2 linked regions of the Stegostoma tigrinum genome follow. The protein of the gene in region 1 interacts with the protein of each later gene in a biochemical or structural test. Links are inferred from orthologs where the notes say so. Each region holds a gene or a part of one and is shown on either strand. Other genes may lie near its edges.

Evidence for each region.
Region 2: the proteins of ret (region 1) and grb10b form a complex in vitro, tested with the Homo sapiens proteins (2 studies listed by BioGRID). The link is inferred for Stegostoma tigrinum from reciprocal best matches to the Homo sapiens genes RET and GRB10.

What each region holds. Positions count from the first base shown.
Region 1 is NC_081390.1:21,305,520-21,321,978, reverse strand, and holds the start of ret (proto-oncogene tyrosine-protein kinase receptor Ret), read left to right. Parts: upstream 1-8,547; 5' UTR 8,548-8,727; coding exon 8,728-8,779; intron 8,780-16,459. UniProt on the Homo sapiens protein: Receptor tyrosine-protein kinase involved in numerous cellular mechanisms including cell proliferation, neuronal navigation, cell migration, and cell differentiation in response to glia cell line-derived growth family factors (GDNF, NRTN, ARTN, PSPN and GDF15).
Region 2 is NC_081355.1:94,095,615-94,112,116, reverse strand, and holds the start of grb10b (growth factor receptor-bound protein 10), read left to right. Parts: upstream 1-8,292; 5' UTR 8,293-8,442; intron 8,443-8,586; exon of another isoform or gene 8,587-8,739; intron 8,740-8,978; exon of another isoform or gene 8,979-9,187; intron 9,188-11,836; exon of another isoform or gene 11,837-11,909; intron 11,910-11,978; exon of another isoform or gene 11,979-12,093; intron 12,094-16,502.

The sequences.
Region 1 (16,459 bases):
ATGGCCTCCTCCTATCTTCAATGTCTCTATATGTACGATGTGAATTTCTCTGGTTGGGCCAGCATTTATAGCCCACCATTAGTTGCCCTGGACAAGATGGTGGTAAGGTGCCTTCTTGAGCTATTGCATTCTATGTGCTATGCGTAGACCCGCAATGTTGTTCGAGAGGGAATTCGGGCATTTTAACTCAACAACACCGAAGAAACAGCAATATATTTACATCAGGATGATAAGTAGCTTGAAGGGGGACTGTTTCTTGTATCTGCAGTCCTTGTCTTTCCAGATGGTTATAGTTGTGAGTTTGGAAGATACCATGGATGGAGCCTGGGTGACAGAAATTATGAGCGATGATTGCTGCTATATTGCTTATCACTCATTTGGATATTTAATTTTCCATAGTATCTTTTGTTAGATGCTTGCAGAGCAATACAGTCTGTGTTTGCACTGTTTATCCATTAGATTTTTTTCCAGGTGGTCTGCTATAGCTAGAAGTCTAACACATGTAATGCAGGATGTGTAAGTCCCACCACTGTGAAATGATCTTTGTCAAGTGTCAAAACTGTCACAGGTGAATGCAGCCAATGACAGACACAAACCTCGTTCACATATCACATGAATGGCCTGGCAGGAAACCTGCAATTGATGGTGTTCCAATGTATCTGCTGACATTGTCCTTCTAACAGGTAGGGTGGTCATGGGTTTAGAAGGTGTTGTCTCAAGGGTCTTCATGAATTTCTGCAGTGCATCTTGTAGACGGTGCTCACTGCTGTTACTGAGCGGTGGTGATGGAGGGAGTGAATGTGCAGTTGGTGCTAATCAGACAACCACCACCTTCTTCCATTGTGCTAGATATGACTCTAACCCAGAGTTGGACCTGACTCCTAACGTATCTACGAACATATCAACAAAGAACAAGAGAAGACCACTCAGCCCTTCGAGTCTGCTCTACCATTCAAAAGATTATGGCTGATCTGACATCAACTTCAACTCTACATTTCTGCATATCCCCGATAATCTTTCAACCCCTTGCTGCTCAAGATCTATCTATTTATCTCTGCCTTAAAAAATATTTTAAGATCCTGCATTCACCGCCTTGAGGAAGGGAAATTCAAAAACTCGTAACTATCTGAGAGAAAAGAAAGTTTCCTCATCTCTGTCTTAAAAGGTTGACCTCTTATTTTTAAACTCTGACCCCTGGTTCTAGATCCTCCCTCAAGAGGAAACATCTTTCGACATCCACCAGGTCAAGTCTCCTCAGGATCCGACGTGTTTTGGTTAAGTCAACGCTGAGTCTCCGAAACACGACAGGATACGAGCCAAGACTATCACATCTTTCCTCATCAAGCAATCAGCTCATTCCAGGTATTAGTTTAGCAAACCTTCTCTGACCTGGTTCTAATACATTTACATGCTTCCATAAGTATGGTGATTACCACTATACACAATACTCCAACTACACAAACTGAAGCAAATAACCTCACTGCTCTTACATTCAATCCCCCTCACAATAAATCATAATTCTCTATTACTGATTACTTGATCTAGCTACCTGCTAACCTTTTGAGGTTCTCGTACTAGGACACCCAGATTTCTCTGAGCTTACAGCTCTGCAACCTTTCACCATTTAGATAATATGCTTCTTAATCATTCTATCTGCCAAAATGGAAAATTTCACTTTTCCACATGGTACTATTTGCCAGGTCTTTGGCCATTCACTCCATTCAAGTAACCTATCTATATTGCTATGTTCTATATCTCTTAGTAGGTTCCTTGTGACCTGTTCACGACTCACTTTCCTATGTGCCATCAACTGTCATAACTTTGATTCCCATCAACCAATTTATATAAGTCGTAAAGAGTCGAGACCCCAGTACTGTCCCCTGTGGCACACCACTTGTGCCATTCTGCCAGCTGAAAAAGACACGGTTACGTTTACTCTTTAGTTTTGTTGGGGCTCCTTGATACCACACTCAGTCAAATGCAGTCTTGATGTCAAAGGCAGTCACTCTCAACCCATCGCTGGAATTCAATGCTTTTGTTCCTGTTTGAATTGAGGCTGCAACGAGTTCAGGAGCCTTGCAATGCTGGCAGAACCCAAAGTGAGCATCAGTGAGCCGACAAAGTCAGTAGTTAATAATTGAGGCTATAATTAACTTTTGCTGCCGTCATAGCTACTCCAGACCAGAACACGTGAGCGAGCAGGAATCTGTTTACTCTTCAATTGTGAAGAAACCCATATTCCCTTTTAATTTTCTAATCAACTGTTCAGAATTACTATCACTCAACTCTGAAGCAGGTTGAACTTGAACCCGGCCTTCTGGTCCAGAGATCGTGACACTACCACTGGGCCACAAGAGCTGTGAAGCCCACATTGATGCTTTTGATTCAAGAGTGGCTTCAAGAACAGGATGTGAATGGTACACTGCTGCTTATTTGTTTTACGGGTCCACACCACCTTTTCCCCATTGGATGGCCTTTTGTCCTTTAATTAATAATTAATTGTGATGGATTTTGATAACAGATGATCAGTTTTAATGCATCAACTCTGGAATAAATGTCTTTCTCCTCCTATTCTCATGTTTACTCTCATTCACTTAAAGTGCATGTCACCCAGATTCATTGTGGTTTTATCTTTTGAATTAAATCTCATTGATGTAAAATGTCAACCGTATCTACTTAAATGTTGGATTGAGATAAACATTCCCTCCTCATTCCTGATAAATCTGATCTAAAGTGGACTGCAATGAAATTATCTACCAACCCCCTTCCAGTAATCTGCGTACTCCAGTTACTTCTCATTGCCCATCATATGTGCAAGTTCAGAGTTGAGTAAAGTCAGCCCCGAACATACAGAAAGAAAGAACCACTTGCATTTAAGCAACAATTTTCACAACTTTGGGACATCCCAAATTGTTTTACAGCATACTTCTGAAATGTAGTCATTATTGCAATTATGAAAATGTGGCAGCCCATTTTCACACAGCATGTTCTCACAAACAGAAAGGTTATAATGACCAGATCATCTGTTTTAATGGCCATGGAAAACTGCACCTTGGACACTGTGGCACTCCTCATGCTGTGGTATGTCAGCCTAGATTGCACAAACCACCCAATCTCTAACTAAGAGACACCCGATAATGTCAAAACACTGATGGTGAGTTTTAAATTAATATGCGAACCACCTACTCGCACAAAGTTAAAAATCAGGCTCGCTAAAGTTAGCGCTTTGTCTTTTAGCAAGTGGAATGGGAGCTGACAGCATGGGTTTGGCTCGTTTGCGATGCATCTCATTTGGAGAAAATCCAATTTATACATGGCTGTCCTTTGCTTTGCTGAAAATTCCATTGTCAACTGATTGGAAATTGCATTCTTTGCAGAGCCTCCCATGACTGTGTCTCTCTTTCTGTAAGAGAAATAGCTTTGAAAAGCAGTAACAGCCAATCTAAAATGCTGAGAGAGACAGAAGTTTTGAAATGAAGCCCCTGCTATTTAACATACCAAAAGAATCAAAAGACAATTTCATATGAAAAATCAATGACCGCTTTGAAATGTAATTTTGAATATCCTCTAAATTGTACTACCTCTCAGTAATAGACTGAGGGGAAGGCTTTTGGTTGAAAAATTGGTGATTTAATTTACAAATCTGATCAATGTCTTACTTCTACGAAATTTGCATGCATCAAAATTGTAATGAATAAATCCAAATCAAAATGAATTAACTGGTATGTTGCGTAATTAAGTGGATGAAATTTGAACTGAACATTGATAACAATGAATATATTTATAAATAAATAACCTTGTTTAAAACTTGAACCAAAGTGAAACAGATTTGGTCAGTGTGACAGTCAGATGTACAGAATAAAGTTCTCTTGGCCTTGACCATTTATTTGCAATTTCTTCCAAAGCCTATACCAGCTTAATGCAATCTGCAGTTCTCTAACCATGGCGTTTTGTGTTTATGTAAATCACCAACATTAATATCAGAGGCATCAGCATGTCAGTCTCCCAAACTAAACCTTCCTCTTCTCGCTCCTGTCTCACAAACAAATACTTACCCATTGTTTCAACCAAACCATTTATCAATTTTCTTCCACAATTCCTTCAGCCCCTATTAATGTCATTGTCTCCTTGCCTTCAAATTCTCTGGGACATTTTCTAAGTTATTGCTACTCATTGTTGACATGATGGTGCCTCAATGTCATAGTTGAACTGTGCCAAACAGATGGTAAGCACTGTTTTTAATTATTAGCAATTAACCCATGTCATTACAAACATAGAATTGTGATCTGATATATTGTTCATTTCATGGAGTGGAGAGGTAGGCGGGGCAGGGGGAAATGATTAAACTTGGCACACAGATGTAATTTGATCCCACTTTGAAAAGAAACATCCTTTTTAGGTGATTATATATTTTCAGACAACTTTTCTGGTGGGAAATAGTCAAAATTCAAATGTTGGGTGCATCATTTTACCTTGTATAGCATGTGCTCTTTGGATGGAGGGTTAATCCAGTCCTGTTGAAATAGGAGATAGTTGGAACTGCCGATGTTGGAGAATCTGAGATAACAAGGTGTCGAGCTGGATGAACACGACAGGCCAAGCAGCATCAGAGGAGCAGGAAAGCTGACTTTTCAGGTCTAGACCCTTCTTCAGAAGAAGGGTCCAGACCCGAAACATCAGATTTCCTGCTCCTCTGATGCTACTTGGCCTGCTGTGTTCATCCAGCTCGACACCTTGTTATCTCTGTTAAAATAGCACCAGTGGTATTCTCTGAGCAGTGTGGCTGACATCATCCTTTAAGTGACACCATCAGAAACCGGTTTATCTGAACACTTTCTCATTGCTGCTGTCGGGTTCCTATTTCCAATCAGTTATTTCCTGATCTTTAAGCAGTTCGAATCACTCCAAGACTCCTGGTTTGTGACACTGGACTTACGTGGGGAATGTGAAATGAAGAGGCAGGAAACAGAGGTTTCAGGGCAAAAGAATCCCTGTGCTTATCTAAAATACAAAAGCTAATTATAATGCAAGAAAATAGGCAATACAATAGATCAAAGAAACGGGTACAATGAAGTATGGTAGGAGAATAGTAGTAGTTTAAATCCACTATCAACCAGATTAACACTATTTTGGGGGATAGCAAGATGTGGAGCTGGATGAACACAGCAGGCCAGACAGCATCAGAGGAGCAGGAAAGCTGATGTTTCGGGCCTGGACCCTTCTTCAGAAAATTCCATTTTGTGGGATCTTGCTATGCATAGCTTGGCTGCTTTGCATGCCAACAGAAAGTAACTAGATATAGAATATACACCCATAGCCAGTGAAATTACTCCATATTTCCTCAGCACATGAAAGCTGCTACATGTGTGCAAGTTCTCTCATTCTTCTAACAAAACCTTAAATGTAGTAGAAGCACAAACAATGTGTGTGGAGATTTACTGATTTGGGAAGAAATCCATTCCTGCCGATTGACTTAACAGTGACTTATGCCGTAGATATCGACAATATGTGAGAAGCAATGAGATCAGGGAGTTGTAGTTACACTGCTGGTTCACATCGCTGTCAATTGAAACATTTACTGATGCCTGTGCAATTCTATTTGAATAGACAGGGAGCTGAAGAAATCAGCTACAGGAGTAACCAATTGCCAATACCAGAGAGCAATTGCCATAACATCAGAAAATTAAACTTGAGTAACGGTTAGAGAGTGTGCGCCATGGAATCCCTAGAGGCCAGTAAGGGGCCAGGTCTGCACCAACCCTCTGAACAGTATCCAACCCAGACCCCAAATCTATCCCCCACCACCCTCCATCGACCGTGGCTAGCTCACTAGCCTAGCCTGCATACTGCTGGACACAATGGGTAATCTAGCATGGCTAATCCACCCAATCTGCGCGTCTTTCGACTGTGGGAGGAAACCAGAGCACACGGTGAAAAACCATTGGGACACAGAAAATGTGCAAACTCCCCACAGTGGCCTGTGACTGGAATCACACCCAGGTCCCCGGTGCTGTAAAGCAACAGTGCTGAGCCGCCCTCGTTGCTAGACTTGCCTATTTCACTGGCTGGTCTCCCCCATTCTAGTAAACCTGATGCTGTCCAAAGCTATGATGCGTGTGTCCATCCGCCCACAACACCCCGTGGTTGCTGACTTACATGCTTCCTTGGTAGAAGTAACACTTCCATTCTAAAATTCTCATCTTTGTTTTCAAATCTCTCCATGGACTTCTCCTGTGTGTCTGCAATCTCTTCAGCCCTATGGAGTTCCTGGCACTCCTGCAATTTTGGCCTATAATGTCAATAATCGGCTGCCCTGCGTTGATTTATAATGCTCCTCTAAAAAAAAGAGCTTCGGAGACGTTTCATTACGTCAAAGGCGGCGGGTAAATGGAAATTGTTGTAAAGTCATTGGTCAAACTTCACGTTTACTGACCCCAGTGCATTGAAGAAGAAACTAACTTCCATTTTGTTTTTCAATGTAAAGTCGACTATTTCATACTGTAACTATTCTCTGGTAGGAAAGTTAATGCAAGCATTACTTTAACCGGTCGGAGTTATACTGTTATTTGTAGCCACTGAAAATGGGTGAGTGGCAGCAATAAGCCACAATATTGAGCTTAGGAGGGGAGCTGTGTAAGAGAGTGCAGAAACGGGGCAGGGCAATCTCTGAACTGTGGTTTGATACATTCCTTGCGTCCACACCATTAGCTTAATCTAACACTGTCCATTCCCCACTGTGTGAAAAGCAAGGCAGCTTAGTTGTACTGTAGACAGGACACGCGGATCTGCAAATGAACAGACTCCCTATTCCGATACTATTCACTTATCATGAAGCTCATCACGCATCCATGTGACTTTTGAAGCTTTCCTCACTTCTCGTTTGTTCTGTTTTTGACTGGTTTATACGTTTATTTTTTCCTTTAAGTTTTCCATTAACCAACCCCTTCAGCGATAGATATTTTTATAATCAGCCTGTTCAGAGTTGAGATGGTACACAGCCACAATTAGAATTGTACCCCACACCTTTCTAACTGAAAACAGAAACCGACTGTGCCATCACGGTTTGTGGATTGGACGGGGATGGTTCCACAATTCACTGACTCAACAACTCTCTCTCCCCTTCCGCCCAGCCCCGAGTCCTTCAGAATTAGTCTAGCCCCCTCTCTGAGTCGGGAGTCCCTGGTGAAGTTGCAACTTTCCGCTCAGCTCTCGTACCGAGACTTCACCCGGCACTGACTCAATCCCAGAAGTTCAGTGAAAATCAGTTTAGGAGAGGGCTGGGTTAACAGTATCCTCCCCTAGGACTAACTCCCTAAATCCCCCATTATTTATTTTCAGGGTACTCCTCGTTCTCTCTCTGTTCTGAACGCATGCTGGACCCGGAAGTGTTAGCTCTGCTTTTTTTTCTCTCTCTTTCCACAGATGCTGCCACACCTGCTGAGTTTCTCCAGCATTCTCTGTCTCTCACCATCTCCCGAGTCGGGTTTTCACACATATCACCTCCACAAATTTAAAAAAAAATCCCTGCAGATTTACACTCCTCTCCCCCAACAACTAGCCCGTTCGCTATGGAGCTGGCCAATGCTTTATTTTAACCCACACTCTGCCGCCTGCTGTACAGAAACGGGGTGTATTGCTGTCCGCAATAATGGGAACTGCAGATGCTGGAGAATCCAAGATAACAAAGTATGGAGCTGGATGAACTCTCTGATGAAGGGTCTAGGCCCGAAACGTCAGCTTTTGTGCTCCTGAGATGCTGCTTGGCCTGCTGTGTTCATCCAGCTCCACACTTTGTTATTCTGGATTGCTGTCCGCTTTGTCCTGGTCAATAACCCCCAGCCCCCAGGGTCTTGGACCGAAACATCAGCTTTCCTGCTCCTCTGATGCTGCTTGAACTGCTGTGTTCATCCAGCTCTACACTTTGTTACCTCACTGATGCCTTCCTGCTTTCAGAAGCAGTACAGTAATCGTGCATGTGATGAAATTAACACGAAGCAATGTTGATTTGAATAAAGAAAGGGTTTTACTGAAAACAAAAAAAAATTGCTGGAGATCACAGCCGGTCAGGCAGCATCCGTGGCTTTACTGCTTCTAAGATGCTGCTTGGAGTGTTCATCCAGCTCTACACCTTATTCTCTGTTATCCGCGGATGTACTTTTTGTTTTCAGCAACTGCAGTAATTTGCCACTAAACTGCTTTGAAGTAACTTCGATAGAAGCCTTTGGACTCGACCCATTGACCCTTAACAGATCAGGCTTTGCTGATTTTCTGGAGTACTTTTCTTTTTTAAAACAAAACTTCAGATCTTGAGCATTCGCAGTATTTTGCTTCCAACTTAAATTTTAAATACTTTCAGTTCTCACCCTCAACATTGTGCTGGATCATCGCCTCTTCATCAGCCGCTGACCACTGCCCCCCCCCCCGGAACAGGATTTCCTCATCTTGTGCTGACCCACAGCGTCACCACGAGTCTGGTTGGAGAATTTCGAGCTGTCGCCTCGAATCTCGAATTAACTCTCAGCATCGACGACCAGCCGGAGAGTAATTGTCTCCTGCCAGGATCAGGATGGGGGCAGTGTGAGGGAGGACAGAGAGAGAGAGAAAACACACACACATCACTTCAATCCATCCAGACCCAACCAAAAAAAACAGGCTGGATACCAGAAGGCAGCTTGTAGCTGGGAGAGAAAAAGAACTCTTTGAACAGCCCTTGAAATAGGTGAAAAGATGTTTTCGCTGAAGGGTTCTTGCACGTTATTGGTCCTTTTGCTTAACAAAGGTAAGAAGATTTATATAAAGAGTACTGGAATAGGGGGTGAAAAGTTTATTCAGTTACACTGCTCTGAAAACTGCAGAAGTGAATGCTTTTAACCTCGGATTGCAAACTTTGAAATGTTTTTTCCACCGCACACTGGCAAGGATTTTAAAACAGATTTTTGCAGGGGATTTTGTTCATTTTTTGTTAGAAAGACAAATGTCATGCATTCTTCTGTTGTAATGCAAAATGTAGAAGTTCCTTAGGCGTCAATTAAGTGGAAGTTTCTGATTTAACTCACCACGTAGTGAGCACTAAGTGGAATAAAAGAGATTGTGCAAAGACAGAGAGATACAACGTGCACGTGTGTGTTGTGGAAGCAAAAAACATAGCGTCTACGGCTCCTTTCTTTCCCCTGGTTTGCGAGCTCCCTCCTGCCTTCCTCGGTGAACCATAACGGAACATCAGTAACAGTCCCCTCTGGCCGCTGGAACTCAGTTACCGGGGTCGGGAGAGCCAACCGTCCCGCTGATGTAAAAAAAGGTGGTTTATATTTTTCGTTGGCTGTGTCAGTTGAAATATAACCAGGCACCCGTCCTTTCAGCGCTGTGTAAAATAGGGATGAAAGTGTTTCCATACGTGTTCCATACAGAGCGTGTAATCAGATTGCGAACTCCTCTCCCTCTTCGGTACGAATGATGTTTCTTGGAAATGTTACCCTCACCAGAGCAATGATTTTCACTTCAGTAAGTGGGACTGGATTGCCAGTAGCGGCGAACTGTGTTATCAGCTCTGTGTCAAAACAGGGAGGTGTCAGCGTCAATGCTTGCAAGTATTGGAAATTTGAACTAAAACAAATCAAACTACTGGAAATACACAGCAGGTCAAAGGAAAGAGAAAAAGATTTATGTTCGGAGTCTTCATCCGTTTGTCTGAATAGCTTTATTGAAGATTCTACCACGCTAAACACATTTGCTAACTTCTGTGAAGGGGCCTACTTATAACAATTTCTGAGTATTTTAATTAAAGTAAGATATCATTTGAATTCTCAGAGTTGCCTCGATCCTTTTATCGGAGGAGGCAATATTATGTCAAAGCATGTTACAGTGATGAGTTCATTAATGTACTGTGTGACCTCAGAAGGATTTACTTTCAGGGAGCAGTGTTGGATATTAGTAGCTGGGTATCTCAATGATACAGTGAAAGAATCCCTGCATTCCAATACTGTTAAAAATTCGCTCTTGAGTGTGTCAGATGGAATCTATATTGATGATGATGATAAGGAGTGAGAGGTGTGGATTGTCTGTTTGTGACTGGAGCTTGTGTTTCATGTAGATTGAAGAGGGGACCTTGTATCAATTGTGATGTCCTGGAGCAGACATTTCCAGGTTTTGCTTTGTGAGAGATTATGGTAAAGCAGCCAGGTTTCAGCTGGTCTAAAGGGTGTGGGAGAGAGCATACCACACCCTGCTGTTATGTACTGATTTTAAAAAATTATTTTCCTGTGAGCATCCGATATTGCTTCAGAAATTGGGGTAAATGGTTCCTGCAATAATTTGTCAAAATTTTCAAAGAGAATACTTGGAATGGTGACACTCCCTCCACCCTCTCCAATATAAAGGGATTATGGAAGTATCACAGTGAGGTTATTTATCTAGAATGGAGTTTTCAACACAATGGACTGGGCATTGTTTATCATCAGCGGTCTTAAATATGAGATTATTTACGATCACACACAAGGCCATCAGTAAGAGAGAGGACTTTGCATTTGTATTGCATCTTTCAAAATCACTGGGTCTCTCCAAAGGCTTTAACACCAATGGCATACTTTTAAAGCATCATCACTGTTGTAATATAGGATGCACTGTAGAGGATATATGCACAGCAAGATCCCACAAACAATAGCAAGATGTGGCCAGATGATCTGGTGAATTTTTTGCAGTTAGAGTTTGGGGTATGGGAGTTACATAAGCACCAGGGCACTCCCCTGTCATTCTTTGAACAGTACAGTGAGGTTTTACATATCCATTCGAGAGGGCAAATGGAATGCACAGCCAGCTCCTCATCCAAATGCTCGCTGGTGTGGAGGTCAAATCCAGATGCTGTAGTTACCATTAAACTAGGGCTGACAGCATGCCACCAGCATCCATCACAAGAGAAAACTCTGCTATGTACCCCACACAAAAAGATGCAGCAAGTCCACATGGTTAAAAAAAAACACAAACACAGATTCACAAAATTGTTTTGGTGCATAAAGAGGCCCTTCAGTCCATTGTGTCTGCAATGGTTCTTCGAGCAAGCATTATCAATTTGTGCAAATCTCAAATCAAATTATGCAAACCTCCTGCCTTTTCCCCATATCATAACAATTACCTAGGGCCACCTTGAATATCTCACTTGAATCTGCCTCCACCATTTTTCCAGGCAATGAACCCTAACTGCTCACTGTGTGAACACTTGGTTCTCACATCATGGATGTACCTGCTGGAGAAGGAGCAAAGCTTGATCTTCTCTTGGGAAATAAGGCAGGGCAAGTGACTGAGGTGTCAGTGGGGAACACTTTGGGGCCAGTGAGCATAATTCTATTTGTTTCAAAATATTTATGGAAAAGGAAAGACCTGATCTAAAAGTTAGATTTCTAAATTAGAGTAAGGCCAATTTTGATGGTACGAAGCAAGAACTTTCAAAAGTTGATTGGAAGAGGCTATTTGCAGGTGAAAGGACAGTTGGAAAGTGGAAGGCCTTTTAAAAATGAGATAGTGACAGTTCAGAGACAATATGTTCCTAAAGGTTTTGAGATGATTTGTAACTAAAGTTGTGGATGATGTTGCAGAAAACCTGACCTACAAATCTTCTCAAAAACTTTAAACACCTGCCGGCATAACAACCCTACTTGGCTCACAGATGGGAGACAAACGCCATCTGTCTGAGCGCGACCTGCGAACAACTACACTTCCTTCATGAATGCCTCAGAAAATCTGCAACCACAGTATGTTGCTGGTAGGGTTAAGGACAAGGCTGGTAGGTGTAGGCAACGCTAGATGACTACAAAAATTGAGGCTCTGGTCAAGAAAAAGAAGGAGGTATATGTCAGGTATAGAAAGCTGAGATTGAGTGAATCCCTAGAGGAGTATAAGGGCAGTAGTAGTGTTTTTAAGAGGGAAATTAGGAGGGCAGAAAGGAGACATGAGATTTCATTCAAAATCAGGTTAAAGAGAATCCAAAAATATTCTACAAATACATTAAGGACAAAAGAGTAATTAGGGAGAGAATAGGGCCCCTTAAAGATCAGCAAGGTCACCTATATGTGGAACTGCAGGAGATGGGTGAGATACTAACCGACTGTTTTGGGATCATTATTTACTGTGGAGAATGATATGGAAGCTAAATAGTGATATCTTGAAAAGTTTCCATATTACAGTAGAGGAGGTGCTGGATGGCTTAAAACTCATAAAGGTGGATAAATCCCTGGTACCAGATCAGGTGTATTCCAGACCTTAGTGGGAAGCTAGGGAAGTGATTGCTGGGCCCCTTGCTGAGATATTTGTATCGATGATAGCCACAGGTGACTTGATGGAAGACTGGAGGTTGGCTAATGTGGTGCCATTATTTAAGTATGATGGTAAGGAAAAGCCAGGGAACTATAGACCAGTGAGCCTGATGTCAGTGGTGGGTAGGTTGTTGGATTTACATGCCTTTAGAAAGTCAAGGACTGCTTAGTGATAGTCAACACATCTTTGTGTGTGGGAAACCGCGTCTCACCAACTTCAGTAAATTTTTTGAAGAAGCGACAAGGAAGATTGATGAATGCAGAGTGGTAGATGTTATCTATATAGGCTTCAACAAGGCATTCGATAAGGTGCTGCATGGTAGACTGGCAGATGAAATTAGATTACCCAGAGGCAGCTAGCCAATTGGATACAAAATTGGCTTGAAGGTAGGAGACAGAGGCTGGTGGTGGAGGTTTGTTTTTCAAACTGGAGGCCTGTGACCAGTGATGTGCCACAAGGATCAGTGCTGGGTCCACTGCCTTTCATCATTTACATAAATGATTTGGATGTGAACGCAGGAGATATGGTTAGTAATCTTGTAGACGACACTAAAACTGAAAGTGTAGTGAACTGCAAAGAAGGTTACCTCAGAGTACAACGGTATCCTGATCAGATGGGCCAATGGGCTGAGGATTAGCAGATGAAGTTTAATTTAGATAAATGTGAGGTGCTGCATTTTGGAAAGGCAAATCAGGGCAGGACTTATACCCTTAACGGTAAGGTCCTGGGAACGTTGCTGAATGAAGAGATCTTGGAGTGCAGATTCATTGTTCCTTGAAAGTAGAGTTGCAGGTCGATAGGATCGTGACAAAGGCATTTGGTATTCTTGCCTTTGTTGGCCAGCGTATTGAGAATAGGAGTTGGAAGGTCATATCTGGCTGTACAAGGCATTGATTCGGCCACTTTTGGAGTATTGCGTGTAATTCTACTCCCTTCTGTAGGAAGGATGTTGTGAAACATGAAAGGGTTCAGAAAAGATTTACAAAAATTGTGCCAGGGTTGGAGGGACTGAGCTATAGGGAGAGGCTGACTAGGCTGGTGTTTTTTTCAGGAGTGTCGGAGGCTGAGGGGGTGATCTTATAGAGGTTTATAAAATCATGAGGGGCATGAATGGGGTAAATAGGCAAGGTCTTTTCCCTGGGTTGGGGAGTCCGAAACTAGAGGGCATTAGTTTAAGATGACAGTGGGAAGATAGAAAAGGTCCCTAAGGGACAACTTTTTCACACAGAGGCTGGTGTATATATGGAATGAGCTGCCTGAGGAAGTGGTGGAGGCTGGTACGAATACAGCATATAAAAGGCATTTGGATGGGTACATGATTAGGAAGAGTTCAGAGGGATATGTGCCAAATGCTGACAAATGGGACTAGATTTATATAGGATATCTGGTTGGCGTGGATGAGTTGGACTAAAGGGTCTGTTTCATTGCTGTACATCTGTATGACTCTAACTATACAGAGTACCCATGCTTCATCAGGGTTGCATGAGCACTTTAGTTCTGAAGTCATCCTCACGTATACACCCATTTTTGGTCAGAAGTACTTGTGGAGGCAGCTAATAGGCTAATCACTAACAAACTAACTGACCATTCACCTTATTTATTGTGAGTAAGATCTCACCGGGCTCAGAATGACTGGCTCATTGCCCTACATAACAAAACCCACTGTGCTTTGAACTAATTCATTGTATGTGACATGATGAGGTGGTATAAGTGTTTTACTCATTCATGGATTGAGTGTTACTGGCTAGTCCTGGATTTATTCCCATCCCTACCTGTGCTGGAGACGGTGATGGTGAGCTGCCCTCTTTAATCGCTGTACGGTTTATGTAGATACCCCTCATGGTACTGTTTGGAACTGTCAGGATTTTGACCCGATGCCAGTGAAAGAACAGCAATATGTTTCCAAATCAGGATGTAGTGTAGCTTGTAGGTAAGCTTGGTGGTGATGGTGTTCCCTTGTGGCAGTTCTTCGAGATGATGGAGGTTAGAGGTTTGGAAGATGCTGTGGAAGAAGCCTGGGTGGGTTGCTCTACACATGTCAGCTTTTCTATAAGCAACAAAGCCACAAATGTACTTCATGACCTCAGTCTGCATATCCTCGTCCAAAAAATGTTTTGCATTTTTTTGACTTGTTTAAACACTTCCGGAGTTGCCATTCGGAAGTTGGCTGTGAAATACCTGACCCATTTCATGATACCATAACAATGTGAAAATACAGTACTATTTAACAGTTAAAGGGTAAAATGTCAGTGATTCGTTCTGTTTTTAAAGACCTCAGAAAGGTTGCATTTGTATATACATCTCCAATAAAAATTCGGTTCCTTTAAGTTCATTGGCATTGCGTGTTTTTTGGCTCGATCAGTATGACTCCTGTCCATGTGAAAATTGTCTGCTACGTTTGCTTACTGAGTGAAAAGTGAGGCTTACAATTGCATATTTTCATTGTCAGGATCAGTAACGTAGCTCAAATTGATTTTACCAGACATCGAACAATTGAAAAGACAAGTTATAGCCTCAGTATTGAATGGGTTAACTGGTTACAATTATGTAAAAGGAGCAGCATTTTTCTCGTATAGGTCACTACATGCTGAAAACTGGACAGTTAAAATATGTGTGTGTGTTATTTGTGTCTGTGTATCTGTTGTGTGTGTGTGTGTGTGTGTGTGCGCGCGCGCCCGCGCCCTCCCTCCTTGTGTGTTTGTCTCTGACTGTTGCCTGTGTCTGTGTGTGTATCTGTTCTGTGCGCATGTTATGAATGTGACAGATTAATTCCTGTTAGGTGGTCAGATTTAGAAATGGGACCCCTAAATCATTGTAGAAAATCGTGGATTGTTTACCCTATGTTCACAACTTCATAGAATCATACAGTACAGTGAGGCCCTGCACCCCATTGAGTCCTGACCCAAAACATCAACTTTCCTGCTTCTCTGATGTTGCCTGGCCTGCTGTGTTCCTCCGGCTCCACACTGTATTATCTCTGATTCTAACATCGGCAGTTCTTACTATCTCCCACTACTGCCAAGTACATGCTAGTCCTGTTTTCCAGCACTAGATCGATAGCCTTGAACTTTCTATGTTTTTGTAATTTATCTCCTCCACCCAACCATCCTGACCCTCCTAAACCAGCTCTGATGCAACGCTTTCCCTGTTATTCCCGTCCTCTGATTTCTTATTTCTTTTAAATCCTCCCATCCCCCTACCTCCCTTATCTTTCGCCACATCTCTGCTTTGGCTGGCTTCTCTTCCTGTCACCTATACCTGAGGCATGAATCACACTCTGACGGACAATACATGCAGATGTCTACACCACAAAATGCTAATGTGGGTTTATATGGCTTGTTTTCAAGATATCCTTTACCCATCCCCTCTCATCCCGAGAAATGTGTGTCTGAGTAATTGCTTTAAGTCATTAAGTTATTTCTGGGGACAAGATCTCTTGGCATTATCTGAAAATGTTGCACTATTTCCCAAAATGGGTCAATAGCTGGTCATTTCAAGCCCAATGTTTAATGTTATGAGTAATGTGGGTAAGTAGGCACTGGTGTGTGAGTTGATCAGCATTGAGTCAGAGATGGAAAGAACATTTCTACTGCACTTAACATTTTACTGCCTGCGTAGCCAGTCCATGGGGACTGTTATTTCATAATTAATTGTAGAGACCCGTGGTTCATGCAGCATGTGCACTTTTTCCTTCCTTGGCCCGCAGTCCTATGTTGGAAACCACTTTAAGGTTTGTTGTGATGAGGGGTGGGGGGTGCGGTGTTGAGGAGGGTAGTTATTACCCTTGTTGGAATTGTTGATATGCAAATGCACTGCGATGCACTTGAACGGCAGAACATGCTTAAGGGCTGGAGTCTGTCTGGTCCAATGTTCTGACAAGTAACATTGCTGGACAGAGTTCAAGCAGTGGACCTTCAGCATGGGTTTGCTGTAGGTACTGCTGTGAGGTGTCACTCTTGGGCATGCCCTTGTGTGTTTGTCCACAAACCAAGTGGCACTGCCAGTTTATGCTTCATCTTGGATTTAAACACTTAGCCTGTGGGTGGAGAGAATTGCCCGCTTGTTAAAGATGAAATCGTACGTGGGCAAATTCCTGTGGAAGAACTGAGGCACAAAGATACGGGAATCATGCTTATTTTATTGTCAGGCCCAA
Region 2 (16,502 bases), on another chromosome or scaffold:
GAACACAGCAGGCCAAGCAGCATCTCAGGAGCACAAAAGCTGACGTTTCGGGCCTAGACCCTTCATCAGAGAGGGGGATGGGCTGAGGGTTCTGGAATAAATAGGGAGAGAGGGGGAGGCAGACCGAAGATGGAGAGAAAAGAAGATAGGTGGAGAGAGTATAGGTGGGGAGTGGAAATGGTTCGCAACAAACAACTGCACCTCCCAGTCGCAAACCATTTCCACCCCCCCTCCCATTCTTTCAATGACATGTCCATCATGGGCCTCCTGCAGTGCCACAATGATGCCACCCGCAGGTCGCAGGAACAGCAACTCATATTCCGCTTGGGAACCCTGCAGCCTAATGGTATCAATGTGGACTTCACCAGCTTCAAAATCTCCCCTTCCCCCACCGCATCCCTAAACCAGCCCAGTTCGTCCCCTCCCCCCACTGCACCACACAACCAGCCCAGCTCTTCCCCTCCACCCACTGCATCCCAAAACCAGTCCAACCTGTCTCTGCCTCCCTAACCTGTTCTTCCTCTCACCCATCCCTTCCTCCCACCCCAAGCCGCACCCCCATCTCCTACCTACTAACCTCATCCCACCTCCTTGACCTGTCCGTCTTCCCTGGACTGACCTATCCCCTCCCTACCTCCCCACCTATACTCTCTCCACCTATCTTCTTTTCTCTCCATCTTCGGTCCGCCTCCCCCTCTCTCCCTATTTATTCCAGAACCCTCACCCCATCCCCCTCTCTGATGAAGGTCTAAGCCTGAAACGTCAGCTTTTGTGCTCCTGAGATGCTGCTTGGCCTGCTGTGTTCATCCAGCCTCACATTTTGTTATCTTGGATTCTCCAGCATCTGTAGTTCCCATTATCTATAATACATGTACATCATTCAGGTGTTTGGCTCTTTAAATAGTCTATTTGAGAACAGATCATGTAAGCTGTCATCATTTCTCTTATTCTTTCACGGGATACAAGTGTCACTGACTAGGCCAGCATTGTTGCACATCACTAATTGCCCTACAGAAGGTGAAGATGAGCTTCTTTCTTCAACTGTTGCTGGGGGAGAGTGAACAACCAGCAGTTGTGGCCAGTATTAATACTGATGACATAGTTGGTGTATCTGCAACTGCAGTGCTGTTCAGGAGGCAGTTCCAAGTTTCTGACCTAGTTCTTTTGAAGGAACAGCACTATAGTTTCGAGCCAGAATGGTGTGTGGCTTGCAAGAGAACTTGGGTGATGAATTGGATTGTCTGCTATTTTTGTCCTCCTAGTTAGTAAAGATTGCAAGTCTGGAAGGTGTTGTCAAGAAGACTTGATGAGCTCCTCTAGGTCATCTTGTATATGTATACTTTTCTGTCACAATGTAATAGTGGTGAGGGGAGTGAACATTTGATCTGACGTACAAGGTACTGGCTAAGCATGTTGCTTTGACCTTTGGTAATGGACAGTCTGTTTAACGATATTGGAGTCATATTTATTTAAAGAAGTGAGGATCATTGCATCACACCCTGAATTTTGCCTTATTGATGTGGACAGATTTGGGGAGCATAGTGAGTGATCCAAGCACATCCTAACATGTGCATCAATGTTCAGATATTGCTATGTAAAGTGCCACTTAACAGCATTGTCAAAAACATTGACACCTTCAATCAATTTCCTGATGGTCAAGAGTGGATCGATGGGGGTTTTCACTGGCCAGATTGGATTTGATATGCTTATTGTGGGCAGGACATACCTAGACAATTTTACACATTCAAAGGCAAATACAAATATTATATTTGTCCTGAAGCAGCTTGCTTACGAGTATAGCATATAAATCAAGATTACCGTGAAGTTGACCAGATTGAGCGTACTGCAATCAGAATTACTTTAAAGCACATAAAATGAAACTGTGAATGACTGTGAAGTAAATTTGGAGGAATACTAAGCAAGTCACGATCATTGAGGCAGACAGGAAGGAATGTAAAGCAGACCAGATAGATTGTGAAGTGTGTCATGATCAGACTTGAACAGGATCTCTAAAGTTAGAGAAAGAAAATAAAAATCAAACTGTGACATCATAGGAATGCGATGAGTTGATTATTGAGTATTCTGCATTTTTCCCTTTCTTCGAAGTTAGGAAGTTAGACTAAGGATTTGGAAAATTTAAAGTTTGATTTTTGTAATTAGCTTAAATTTTTATAGCCTCCATATATTTAGGTGACAAGAGACGTGAAGAAATGGCGAGCTCCTTTTTTAAAAAATAGTATGCTTTATTACCTAAAATATCGAGGAAACAGAAAGTCCCAACTCCTGAAGTAGACATCCTGGTCCATGTAGGAATTTCAAGACATTTCCTGAGAGGTGAATAATCATAAGTGAAGGAAGTGTCATCACATGCAGCAGTTTGATCTTCAGAGCTTTAACAGCATCTGGTATCACTGTAGCACCGCCATTCAATTGAGAGATTTGTAGATAGCACACTTATATGTATAGTTATCCTGCTGCTTAAGAGCAATTCTAAGAAGAAGGAATCAGTAACCACCAGTCAAGAAGAAATAGACAGGTAGTCAACAGTTCCCAGAATGCATCTCCAACAGTATTCAATTCTGAATAGAAATGAAAGAATGGTCCATCTTAGTAGTGCATTCAGGGCCAAGTCATTAGAGGCTCTGCTGTATGGGATTGGAGGCACAAAGAAGACTGGTACAGTAATAGTGATAGGAAATTCAACAGTCAGCAGAACTGATAAGTGTTTCTATGGCCAGTGGCACAAATCCAAAAATCCAGGATGGTGCCAGTGTCAAGGTCGTCACTGGATGTTACAGCGTACCCTGCTGGAGGAGAGTGAACAACCAGCAGTTGTGGCCAATATTAATACTGATGACATAAAAAGAATGATAAATGTTCTGCTGTTAGGATTCATGGAGCTAGGGAGGAAATTACCAGCAGTACCTCTAAAGTAGCAACTTTCATATTACTTATGCTACCACATGTAAGTGAATGGAGAGATAGAAGAAAAGTGCAGACACATGTGTAGCTCAAGAGATAACAGTAATAGTAATTTATTGTCACTTGTACTTAGAAAAATACAGTTAAAATTGTTTGTCATCATACTCTGGTGCCATTTTAATTATAGTAAATATAAATATAAATATAAATAATTAAGACAAAGTTCATCTTTTGTTCTCTTCATCCACCACAGCTGCAGAAAGAAGATACAAAGGAGTTTGTTATGAAACATAAAGGAAGAGACAAAAAAAAGTGTGCCTGGCCTGGTGATTGGAGTGGATAGGCTCAGAGGCCCAAACACTTCCTATGTGCTGCTGTTGACATCTTGGATGTAATTTCAAAATAGTGCCAACAGGGAGAGGCTGAATGGCTTAAGTCTTTTGGGACATAGGGATCAGTCTTGGGGGAAGATGGGAAGCCAAAGGATTCCTTGAAGGAAGATTTACTTGTCTTATTGGAGAGAAAAAACGATTTTGACAGTGGTGTGAGAACCAGAAGAATGCCAATCTGCAAAAAATATTGGGTGAGGCAGATAATATAAGAGCAGGAAATAGTAAGCTGTTTGGTGGATTCAACTTAAAAGTGTAAGTGATAAAGTCACAGGGTCACAGTCCGTACATGTGAGAATGCCTAGTGAGTGTTAAATAAGATGAAAGAATTGAAGATACAGAGAGCCACATGGAAATGTGATGTTATGGTAATAACAGACACCTGGATCAAGGAACACCAGGACTGGGTATTAAATATTGCTGAATACAAGATGTTTGAGAAAGATAAGAAAGGAACAAAAGGAAGCAATATTGATTAAAGAGAACATTGCAGAACATCAGAGAAAGGATGTCTCAGAGATGTCATGGACAGAATCTTGTCTGACTAGATATGAGGAATAAAAAAATCATTCAATTACATTACTCAGTGTAGTCTATAGGGCACCATTGATAATACACATCTGGTATTAGGCATCCTACTGAACAGAACTTGCTTTTCAAAGATTTTCTCAAAGGAATTGAGAAGTTAGCTGTCTACTTGACGTGGAAAAAGAGATATAGAGTGGGGAGTCCGCTGAATAAATCTCTTTCATTCTGTGCTGGTTTCTCCAGAGAAATGCTGTAAAGAAATAAAATGAAATTGGCTGGAGGACGGAGAAACTGTATGTTGGCATAAAAATGCAATAGTAGGCATGGTTACTTGAGTCTACATTTTGCAAGTATACTAAACAATTTGTCATGAGGAAAAACAGTCCAGTTATCTTCCATGGATCAAGGGCTCTGGATATCAAGCGCAAAGATGGACTTCAATCAAGGAATTGCATATATAAATGATGAAATAGGTTTGATAAAGTTGAATCAAAGATATCTTTCACATTGTTTAGTTTTCACCACTTGAACCAGAAATTCAGCATTTTAATCCAAAACAGACATTATGGTACTAAGGTGCAATGATTGAGTGGTTTTACATGTGTCTTTATTACAAAATCATCCTTGAAGGGGCCAGAACCCACCAGACCCTTTTTTTGGCACAGCTACAAAAGTATAATTCAAGAAGGTGATGACAATGTTACTTAGGATCACCATCATCAATTGCATTTAATTCATGTAAGGAAGCATTAAATGATTTCTGAACAGCACAATTTCTTAACCTTGGGATATATATGTATTGTCTCTATTGCTTTTTGGAGTTCTGACAGTTCCAGTAAAAAGATATTGGAAGTTTGAAGAATATAGAGAAAATAGGAAAAAGAACAAACAGGGAGTTAGGAGGGCTGAAAGGGGTTATGGTATGTCCTTGGCTAGCTTGGAGAATATCAAGGCATTTTATTCATACAATCGGAGCATAAGGGTAGCTAGGGAAAGAGTAAGCCCACTCATGGATAAAGGAGGGAGGTTATGTGTGATGTAGTCTCAATGTGGACTTTACTAGCTTCAAAATCTTCCCATGACCAACCCTCCTTCTCATCCCTGCCTCCTTGACCTGTCCATCTTCTCTCCCACCAATCCATTCCTCCCCCTTCACTGACCAACCCCGACCATTGCCTACCTGCACTCACCTATTTCCATCCCACCTACCTTTCATCCCTGCCTCTTTGACCTGTCTGTCTTCTCTCCCCACCTGTCTGTTCCTCCCACCTTACTGACCAACCCCCACTATTGCCTATCTGCACTCCTTATCACCACCCCACCTACCTTCCCCTGCCCCATCCCTCCTCTCCTTATTTATTTCAGAACCTCCTACCCCTCCCCCATTTCTGAAGAAGGGTCCCGACCTGAAAAGTCAGCTTTCCTGTTCCTCTGATGCTGCTTGACCTGTTGTGTTTCTCCAGCTTCTGATGAAGGGTCCAGGCCCGAAACATCAGCTTTTGTGGTCCTAAGATGCTGCTTGGCCTGCTGTGTTCATCCAGCTCCATACTTTGTTATCCCACACTGTGTTATCTCTGACTCCAGCATCGGCAGTTCTTACTGTCTCAGGGGATGTGTGGTGCCTGAGGAAATGGATGAGATCTTTAATGAGTGCTTCAGATTGGTATTCACCAAAGGGAGGGTGGTGAGGGTTAATGAGGTTAGGGAATAGAATGTGAATACTCTCAGACAGATGAACATAATGAAGGAGGAAGTGTTGAAATGAATTAAAGTAGACATGTCTCCAGGGCCAGATGGTATCTATCCTGGGATACTGTGGGAGGCATGAGAGGAAATAGCTGGGTCCTTATTAAATATCTTTGCATCTTCTTTGGCCTCACACGAGGACTACAGAATGGCCAGTGTTGTTCCTTTTTGTTTAAGAAGGGAAACACAGATAATCCATGTAATTATAGGCCAGTGAGCCTGATGTCAGTATTGAGGAAGCTCTTGGAGAAGATACTAAGACACAGGATTTATTCACATTTGGAAGTGAATGGGAGAGATAATAGGAACTGCAGATGCTGGAAAATCCAAGATAACAAAGTATAGAGCTGGATGAACACAGCAGGCCAAGCAGCATTTTAGTGAATGGACTTGTTGTGATAGGTTAGTGATCTCAACTAAATTATTTTAATTTTATACTGCATATATTGTTAACTTCCAGCAAAGAATTGGCAAAGTACTCATTTTACAGGTATATTAATTCTGGGATTTAATTTAAAAGATAAAAGTATGCTCAAGCAACTGAACCAAACAAAATAAAAACAAATGATACCCAAAGAAAATTAGTCCGAAATGAAAGAAAACACATTCAAAAAATTATCATGACATATGCACTTTCATTAGTTTCACGTAATTGTTAGTGGCTTTGACCAGTCACCTTTTCTGTAAAATCAATACATTTTAGTACAGCCAACTTACTCAGTTAACTCTAGAATTAAATCATTGATATTTATTTTCATGAGGCTAGGAAGTGTTAAATAACAATATTACTGAGAAACAATTAAGATATTTGACACTTTTAATAAACCATAAGATCTCCTGCTTGTGTGCTCCAAATTATTTTTTTCTTACATCAGATGTTATAGAGTCATGCCACATGGACAAAGATCCTTTGGTCCAACTAGTCCATGCCAACCATGTTCAAAACTAGTTCCACTTGCCTGAATTTGCCCCGTATTGTCCCAAACCTTTCCTATTCATGTACTTATCCAAACGTTATTTAAATATTGTAACTGTACCTACATTCACCACTTCCTCTGGCAGTTCATTCCACACAGGAACTATTCTCTGTGTAAAAACGTTGCTCCTCACGTCCTTTTTAAAACTTTCTCCCCTCCCCTTAAAACTGTGCCCTCTAGTTTTGAACTCCCTCAACCTGGAGAAAAGACCCTTGCCATTCACTATATCTACGCCCCTCACGATTCTCTGAGCACGGTACTCACTTACTTTAAGGAATGGAGGCAAAAGAATAAATGGAGCAGCTTTCCTGATATCGTTTCATTCCATAAAAAAGTTTTAAAATAACTTACAAACAATCATTTTTAAAACCAGAACATTTCTCATTTTTGATTGCTGTCACCGAGTCCTCCATTCATAATCTAAACTTTATTGGTAAAGAAGTTAATTGTCTTTGGAACACCAAATTCTAAATTCGTCGTTATAACATTTAAAAAAAATTGATTTGGTTCTGAAAATATAACTGCTTACGAATTTAAATTAAGAAGTCTCCTCTCCTCCCCTAAAGGAAACACCAGGTAGCTCACATTCTAAGTAATTTTTAAATCTAATGAGCCCACGCAGCGGGTCTGTGGAGATAATTCCATTGCGAACGGCATCACACTTGAACCTGGTTCTGTTCTCTCCTGATATTCTCGCACGCACATTTTCCACAAGACGTTACAGAATTGCGATTTTTCTGCTGTCAAATCTAACAGTGCTGAGGACAACTAGTGCTGGACATAAATTAAAAGCACAGTTAAAAGAGTTTTTATGCGGAACTCTGGCAAAGATCATATTAATAGCCGAGTACGCGAATTCAAATTTACCAAGTATATTTCCATAATGCTTTATTATTTGGTAACATCACCGCACAATGTATTCTTATCAAAACTGCGATCCTTAATTTAGCTCTTTGAGTTGCTAACAGCTACCTATCCCTGTCTCAATCAATGCTTTGATCGGGATATTATTACTGACCTTCCTGTGAAGTGAAATCGACACATCTTTAACACTGCCTTCTATCGTGCTTTTACAAGACAACAATCAGCTCTCTTTAATGTATAGTTAGTTTACTTCATGTATTTCTTTTTGCGAACGGTTTTGTTTGGTCTATCTTTTTTGTTAAATGTTGACGAGATGGAGACACATCTGCTTTTGAGATTAGAACAGCTAATAAGCGTCTTTCTGGATCAACTATGGACGTCAGCGGAGCAGACCATAGCTGGCAGTAAGTAATTCCTCGACTGCTGGAGAACTGTTCAATCTGCTAAACTGGGCGAGTCTGCGAGGCAATTGTGTAAAACGGAAAAACTGTCGCATCAAAGACAAATAACCTCCGTGAAGATGAATTCTGGGGTGTTCAGAAAGTGAGAATCAGAGATGGGAAGGCCAATAAAGTGGAGGCTTCTCCAAATATGATCAGTTATGGCTTGGTATAAACTTTTGGACACGAGTGGAAACTTTACGGCTCAGCTGAATAGGAAGACCTCTAAAGGCAGGGTAAGCCTGAGTGCCGCCGTCCCTTTTTGGCAGCCGATTGCTGTCCCATAGTCAATATGCTTGGCTGTTCCAGGAAAGTCCTTCTCAAGAGGATGCCTGCGGTGTTGCCATGTGCGTGCACAACTCGACCGGAAATTTGCAGGGGGAGAAAAGGCAAAGCGCGGAAAAAATAATAATTTACAACCTTTGAAAGGCCAGTCATCCCTATTAAAGTGAACTAGTACAGGGAAGCACTAAAGCATGGAGCTCAGCGACAATAACCATATACGTACACAATCTTGATCTGGGCACACAGGAAATTTTACATTACACCTACGGCCGACCACAAGTATTCGAGGAGGTAGGCGATGCTGACGTCTGGACACTGCATTTTACGTATTCTTTCAAAATTGCACCATCACCACTCGTAATTTACAAGGCAATCAGGAAAGCTTTCGAGTTTTAACCCTGTGTGCCTCGGTTTTTAAGCATGTGAACGAGTCAGGTTGACTAATTTCTCACGAGTTGTATGTGGGTACGGACAGAAAGGGGGGACGGTTGGTGGGAGGTAGAGAATTCATCCGATCACCAGGTCTCTTCCAATATTCGTATGCGGGAGTTTTGTACAAGGAGATTTTTGACGGACTAGGGATTTGAGGTGATGAAATTTCGGAGACACTTTCATTCCGTTTGTTGCTCCGAGTCGGCTCCGCTCGCGTGTTACTAACGGCCACAGGCCGCTCGGGCACCGGACGGGCGATTCGTTTATGATCCGCTGTGGGGGAGGGGCTGGGCAGTTTGTGTTGGCGCGCGAGCGAGCGTGCGGGCGGGGTTGGGTGTTTCAGCCGCGTGCGTTCACGCGCAGCGGCAGTTACTTTTTCCTTTTTTTGTGTGTGGGACGGGAACAAAAAGTTGGGATTGTGCGCGCACCCGCAGGCGAGGCGTCGCCATTTTTTTAAAGTGTCTGTAGCACGCGCGTTGAGGAGGAGTTACTGCGGGAGAGAGTTGTGGAAGTAGAGGGGGGTTGTTAAGAGAGTCAATTAGTTCGTCGGTGAGCAGGGGCAAAGTAAAATTATCATTTTGCAGGACTAGCAATCAAGATTGAAGTAAGTGTTCCTTTCCCTAATCTTTGCTTCCCCACCTTACCTCGTGAATGATTTGTTCGCGTGTATTGGTCTTGTGTTCGTGCCTGGGAGGAGAGGAGCTGTTGGAAAGTGTTTTTCTTTGGTGCATTGGGGTAATGTCCAGTTATTGGTGTGCACCATGTAAGGTAGTGGTGAAGGGTGTTTTAAAGCTTGTATCACAAACATTTGGGATGAAGAGGCGCTGTGGTCAGTGCACGTACGCAATGAGGTACAGTTGGTGTCCAGTGGAGCTGGAAACCTTAGATCATCTTCGTCTAAACAAGTATAACGCGCGCGCACACAAGCCATTTTTTAAAAAAATAAACTTTTGACTTTAAGTGTCGCGGTTACATTCGATTGTAAGCTTCTACGGAACGAGTTACGTGAGAAAGTTCAATTGCTCGGTATTCTGTCAGAACTTTTTATGCTAAAGCATTCTCATCTCTTCATTAATCGGGACCGGAGTAGGGCCTCTTGAATCTGAAATACCGCAGTTATCCCTTTAAACAGAGTTTGGAAAGTATGGACTCTGGAGTAGTGAGGGAGACCACTTTTGGGTACTTTTCCAAAAATGAGACGATGGTGGGGTTAAATAAGCCGCTGAATATTTGCATTTGCTTGGGTGACATCGAAGATAATGCTGAGAAAATCTGCCTTCCTTACTCGTGTGTGGTGTTCAAAGATTGTACATTCCTGCGGAAACTGTAACAGCGTTTTACAGCAAATGAAGAAGCAACTTTTTTCCTAAAAAAAATGTTAACGTCACTTCCACTTGGGTGGAAAACAGCTTTTGATACTTACATCCTCCAAACGAAGTCAAACTGTAGCTATTAGCTGCAAAAGGTTGGAATGGATAAGCGTAAAATGTCAATTTTTAAATACGGAGTGGTGAAACTTGGTATCGCTGAAATTCAGACTGTCTGATTGGTTAATGAAGAAAAGGATGTGTATTTGTAATTGCATTTTGAAAAAAAATGTCTGACCTGTATGAAGCGACGTTTCAAGCGGTCAGGTCTACTTTCTCTCGATTGATTGTACTTGGTTTGTTTTGGGGGTGGGTATAAGTAAAGTGAAGATTGGCAGTGTTAGATAAGATTGTGGAACTATTGATTCAAGGTAGTGAAGCCAAACCGTTTCACATGATTGCCTGTTTTTTAAAAAAAGTGCTTATTTACTCATCTTGCCAAGAATTATTTTCCATTTCAAAACAAGCAAATGAGAATACAAGAATGAAATGGTAAAGACCTTGAAGATTTGGGAAATTGTTTTCAAAGGCCTGAAAAGTATTTCTTAATCTGTTCCTGCATTGCACGTTGGGTTGGGAGAACAGCAGAATCAATTGTCACTTACTTTCAACCAAGCCATTACCTGAGGAATTATGGAAAAACAAGGTTTGAAACACTTGAGGTTCCACGGTCCTGTTGGCAATGTGGAAGTTATAATGTTGGTTTTATTGTGTTGTGGCCATACTGGTAAAGATTGTCTATCTAAGAATTATATCTGTTAAGTGTTTGATTAGCTAAACGAAATGGTATCCTTCTAAGACATTTAACCAGTTAAACTAATGATAGAAAGGTTTAGTTGAGTGTTGTAACTCTTCAAAACTAGTCAAGAAAACATTTGAAAATGTAGCTTTATCAGCATGGTTGAAAATTAACAATGTATGGAGGTTGGCTAATGTTTCATAGATTACAACTTTTAAATTAACAATATCTCTTCGGAATGTTTTGTTTCCTGTTGTTCTTTCTTCCCTGTTTCAATGTTCACTGTTTTTGTGAGATGAGGTGCAACTAGAATAGTCCTGAGCAGCTAAAGATTCAGTGATTGTGAAACTATGCTTAGGTTTTCTTTCTTAAAATGTTATCATAAAAGCACAATCATTCACTGAGTTTTATAGACTATATTGGCCTAATTACTCATTGTCAAAACTCACCTTCGAAAGGAGGTATATTTTAGAATGGAGTTTGAACTTTGGCCCAACAGTGGCTATTGTGTGATTGTTATCATTTTACTTGTCTTCAGTGAATCTCTATGGCACAAAGATTATTCAGAGGTTAATTATGCAGAATTGACGCAAAATCATGAAAGCACGTGGTATCAGAAAAGTGCTGCTAGTTTATTAGTGAAGCTTAGTGATGCTTGGAAAGGAATGACAGAAGTAGCTTCTCTGGGTGCCAATTTTCTGGATACTGAAAATATAGGGGGAAAGAAACCATTCATTTGTCTCCATTAGCTGAACACTTCTTGGACATAAGTTCATTTGAAGCCTTAGAACATAAGAATATAAGCAGGAGCAGGGGAAACTGTTTAGTCCTTCCTTTAAAAAGGCCAAGTATGCTCAATTATGAATGATTCACCTTAATTCCATCTTGCTGCACTATCCCCCATTCCTAAATATCCAAACATCAATTCCTTCTTTTCTGAATTTATTCAATGATCTGAGACAGATTTTCAAAGATATACTTCCCTTCACGCGAAGTTTCTCTTCTTCGGTTCAGAATGGCCAGAGCTGTCTTCTGAGACTGTTAACATGTAATAGAGGGGAGACATAATCCTAGTATCAACGCTTTCAAGAGCCTTGAGAATATTATTTCAGTGAGGCCAGCATATGTTCTTTTTTCACTCTCTAAGGATTGTAGGCACAATCTACTCGGCTTCTCAAAGGAATTCCCTCATTCCAGAAACCATTTCTGCTATCGAAGAGGTGAGTGTACTATTTTAGTTTTCTACTCATTTATTATACATGCATGATAACTTTGTGGTTGACTTTCAGAGACACCCACTCCTTTCAAATGGCATCATTTCTTGATCCGTTCACCAACAGTAGCCACAGACCCTACGAAGTCTCTCCAAGTCAAATGCAAGCATGGAAATATGCTGGATAATAAGTATGTTCCTGTATTAGCTAATAAATCTATACTTGGAGAAAGAACTGTAGGTGGCAAGATCTGAGGAATGGTTACCAGACCCGAAATGTTAACTGATCTTTCCTTTACAGATGCTGTCAGACTTGCTGAGCTTTTCCAGCAACTTGTGGTTTTGTTCAAGATCAAAACATATTCATGCTGGGGTCTTCAAAGTCCCTCACCAAGATTTGGTCAAATTGTAAAGGTCATAACTGCTAGAAGGAACCAACAAGAGGATAAAAGGTTTTGAGTAGATTTGTAGCTTGGGTTTTGGCTTGCTGAACTGGTTTGTTGGTTGGTGGACAAACTAATACTCCCACCCCCGAATCTGCTGCCTCCCGAAGGTACACAAACCACAAGTACTCCTTAGACCGATAGCCTTCTTGCCAGGCATGCTATCACATAGATTATCCGAGGAGTTACAAAGGAGACTAAAAGCACCTCATCAGCAATTCACCCCACTCAATCCATTCATCCCAAGAGATCCTCAATTCCATTTTGGATATAAAAATAGACCACAGTGAGACCATGGTAAAATTTGACGTTGCTGGCCTAGTCACATTGATAGATGTACCACTAGCAACACTACTAAAACAAGATCAAGGCCCAAGTAACACCATCTCCACAGACAACATGCTGAAGCTACTGGGTCTTTGCCCTCGCTACCACTTTAACTTTAAGGGCCAAATATCTGAACAGATCACTTGGACACCCATGGGATCACTAATCTCCAACTAATAGCTGAAGTGGTGATGCAGAGACTCAAGAGCATGACCCTTCTAATAATCCAACCAAAACTATGCATACGAGACATGGATGACACCTTCGTCATTATTAATGGACAAACTAGAAGAGAAACACCAACTAATAAACAACACTCAATGGGATCAGATTCACAGAGGAAGAGGAAAAGAACAAACGGCTGCCATTCCTGGATGTCATGGTGGAATGCGGGACCAATGGGGAATTCCTAACCAAGGTATGCAGGAAAGCCACACATTGACCCAAGTCCTGAATTTCAACGCAACCATCTTTAACTCCCACAAATGAAGTTGCATGAAAACTCTACTCCAAACGGGCAACAATATATTGCAGCCACACAGAACTACACCAAAAAGAAGAGATGTACCTCTTCTAAGTATTCAATGACAAGGGATACCTGAACAACTGGGTCAGAAGATGCTTATTACACGAACGACGACAAGAAGATACTGCACCCCCTGACACCCTTATTGTGCTACTTTACACCATGGACACATCTGAACTAACTACGACTCCTACGACCACCTAGGCATCAGAGTAGCACACAAACTTGCATCAACCGCACACCAACAGCTAACCCGAACCAAAGACCCATCACCCACTATGGACAGGACCAACGTAATATACAAGATCCCCTGCAAAGTGTGTGACAGTTATAACATTGGACAAACAGGAAGGAAATAAGCCACAAAAGTACACCAGCATCAACTAGCAACAAAAAAAAACTCACTCATTTCCTACAACATGGAGAAGGAAAACCACCAAATTGATTGGGACAACACCAGGATCCTGGGACAGGCCCAGCAGAGACAAGCATGGCAATTCCTCGGCCTGGTTCTCCACTGAGAAGGCCTTCAACAAGCAAATAGAGCTAGACCGTGTATATATACTCCATTGTGAAGGAAAAACGAAAGCAAAGTAACTCGGTTCAATGGACACCACAGTTTAAACATCTGGTGGAAAAACTCAACAGTACCTAATCGGAGGCTACACACATGGTATTACCCAGCAAAATAGTGAAACATCCTGGTAGAGGAGAACAAGACTGAGTGCTTGATCTGGTGATGGATAAGTAAGCCACATGCATACTGGGTACACTCAACTGTTCATCCTTTTGACCTGAGAAAGAAGGGCAAGAGTGAAGGTAATTTTGAGCAACAAGAGCTCAAGATGGTTGTGAGGGAGTTGGAGTTGTTGGTTTGCTGAGCTGACTGGTTTTCATACAAACGTTTCAGCTCCCTTTTAGGTGACAGTTAGTGCTATGTAGCCACTGTTGAAGCGCCATTGTTCTGTCCTGTGAATTTATGGTCTGGTTTGTCATGGTGGGCAGTTATTGAAGTGGTGTGTAGATGGGTCTGTTTCGACATGTTTGTTAATTGCATTGGCGGTTGAAAACCGGACCTCCAGTAATTTTCGTGCTTGTATTTGTCTTGTCCTAGTACTGTAACTTTTGTTCCAGTTAAATTGATGTTCCAATAAATGGCAAGTAATATTTAGGCCACACTACTGCCAGGCAATGTCATTTCCCAGGAAGGTAGAGAATCTAGCAGTTGCTCCTTGACATTCATTGCTACTGATGCTGAATCCCCAACAGCAACATTCTTTGGATTGCTGTTGACTCGAAGCTGAACTGGAATATGTCTGCAAGAGCTGGTCAGAGGCTAGGAATCCTGCATCTAGTGACTCCCCAAAGCGTGCCTGCCATCTTTTACAAGGCACATGTCAAGAGTGTGACAGACTCCCCACTTTCCTGTTTGAGTGCAGCTCCAACAACACTGAAGAAACTTTGACACTCTCCAGGGGCAAAGAAACCTGCTTGACTGGCACAGCCTCCACAATGTGCACTCCTTCCACCACTGATGCTTTGTAACAGTGTGTACTGTTTATAAGATGCACCGCAAAAATTCACTGAGGCTTGTTAGATACCATTTTCGAAACCCATGCCTATCATCTAGAAAGATAGCATAGGAACATCAAGTTCTTCAAGCTTTTCGCCATCCTTATTCAGAAAATATATTACCCTTCCTTCAGTGTTGCTGAATCAAAATTCTGGGACTCCCCCCTTCCCCTCACTAACTGCATTGTGGGTATAACTCCACTTATTGGTAACTCCACTTGCAGTAGTTAAAGAAGACTGCATGCTGCCGCCCTCTCTAAATCAGTTAGGGATGAGCTTTATATGCTTGCCCAGCCTACGTTTTCTAAGTGAACTAACAAATAATTTCCCAGTCTCTTGCTATTTAGAGAAAGAAAACCTGCTTTTCTATTTTACAGTTGATCACTGAGCCAGATTTAATTTGTCAACAGTAGGTTGTGTCTGGCCTAATGATTTCATCTTGAGAAAAGATGCCTAAAGGGATGGGAGTATCTGAAAATTATTGTGCATGGTGAAGTCCACGTAGATATGTTTTGTAGAAACTGAGAAGTTGGAGCCGATGGAGGTGAAGACAAATTATTGACCATTCCAGGATATTAGATGAGTGGCATTAGATGGAATAATTAATGTATAATCTAAACAGCAACCTGAGGCTTTAAGGATCTGTGTTTGAGGCATCTGTCCAGTCTAGTGGCCACAGAGCCACATTTGTCATCAGTGGCACTGTGTGAGCTATGGCGATAGATACGTGAAATGGAAACCGTGTATTTAAGTGGGCAAAACTGTAGCAGTTAGATTCCATTGTAAGCAAATAAGGTCATGAACTTTGGACACAACAAAGAGCATGTTATGTTTCTAAACGGTGCAATAAGTATCAGTGAAGAAACTTGATACTTGAAGTACATCTGGTGATTAAAATTATATGGCAGGAATAGCAAACAATCAAAGCAAATGACTTGCTGGTCTTATACTAGAATGCAAAAAGTAGAATCACACTTTAGCTAAGCGAACCCTTCTAAGGAAAGGTCTGTGGACCCAAAGCTTTAACTACGATATCTGTTCGCAGGAGCTGCTGAACCTGCTGAGTTTTTTCCAGCAGTTTCTTTTTTTTTGTTTCTGAGGCCTTGGCTTGACTTGACTTGAAATGTCAAGAGCAATTCTGGACGTGAAGAAGGTATATTGGTCTTGGATAGTGTGTAGAATAGATTTTACGAGAATGTTCTCTTGCTCTAGGCATCATTAAGTTACGAGGAGGAATTGTGCTTCTATTCTTCAGAAATCAGAAAATTTAAGGTATCATTGAAAACTTTAAAGATCCAATGGCAAGCAGATTTAGATAATTTCTATTGTCTAAAACTAGTGGCCAGACCTTTTGTACAATAGTTAGCATTTTTTGTTCAATGGTTTGTAAGGACTTTTAAACTTTAAACTTTTCCAAACAAATGCCCAGTTGATAGATCACTTAATTTTAGAGCTTAGATTTAAAGGAAAAGTTACTCAGAGTAGCCAGAAGATTTGGAATAAAAGTAAATATGTGGAGTAACATTGTACATCTGCGATGATCTCATTGGGTAGCTAGCAAGTGGAATCAAGCTCATGGAAAAATGGCTGCTCCTATGCTCTTGCTCAATCACTGAGACTGTCTTTTTCCCTATGCAGTTTCTTTGTGTTCTCTTCACAGCATATCTTCCCACTTAACTTTTATATCACCCACAGAATTGAATATGTTAAGTCTTTTTTTCATCCACAGTTG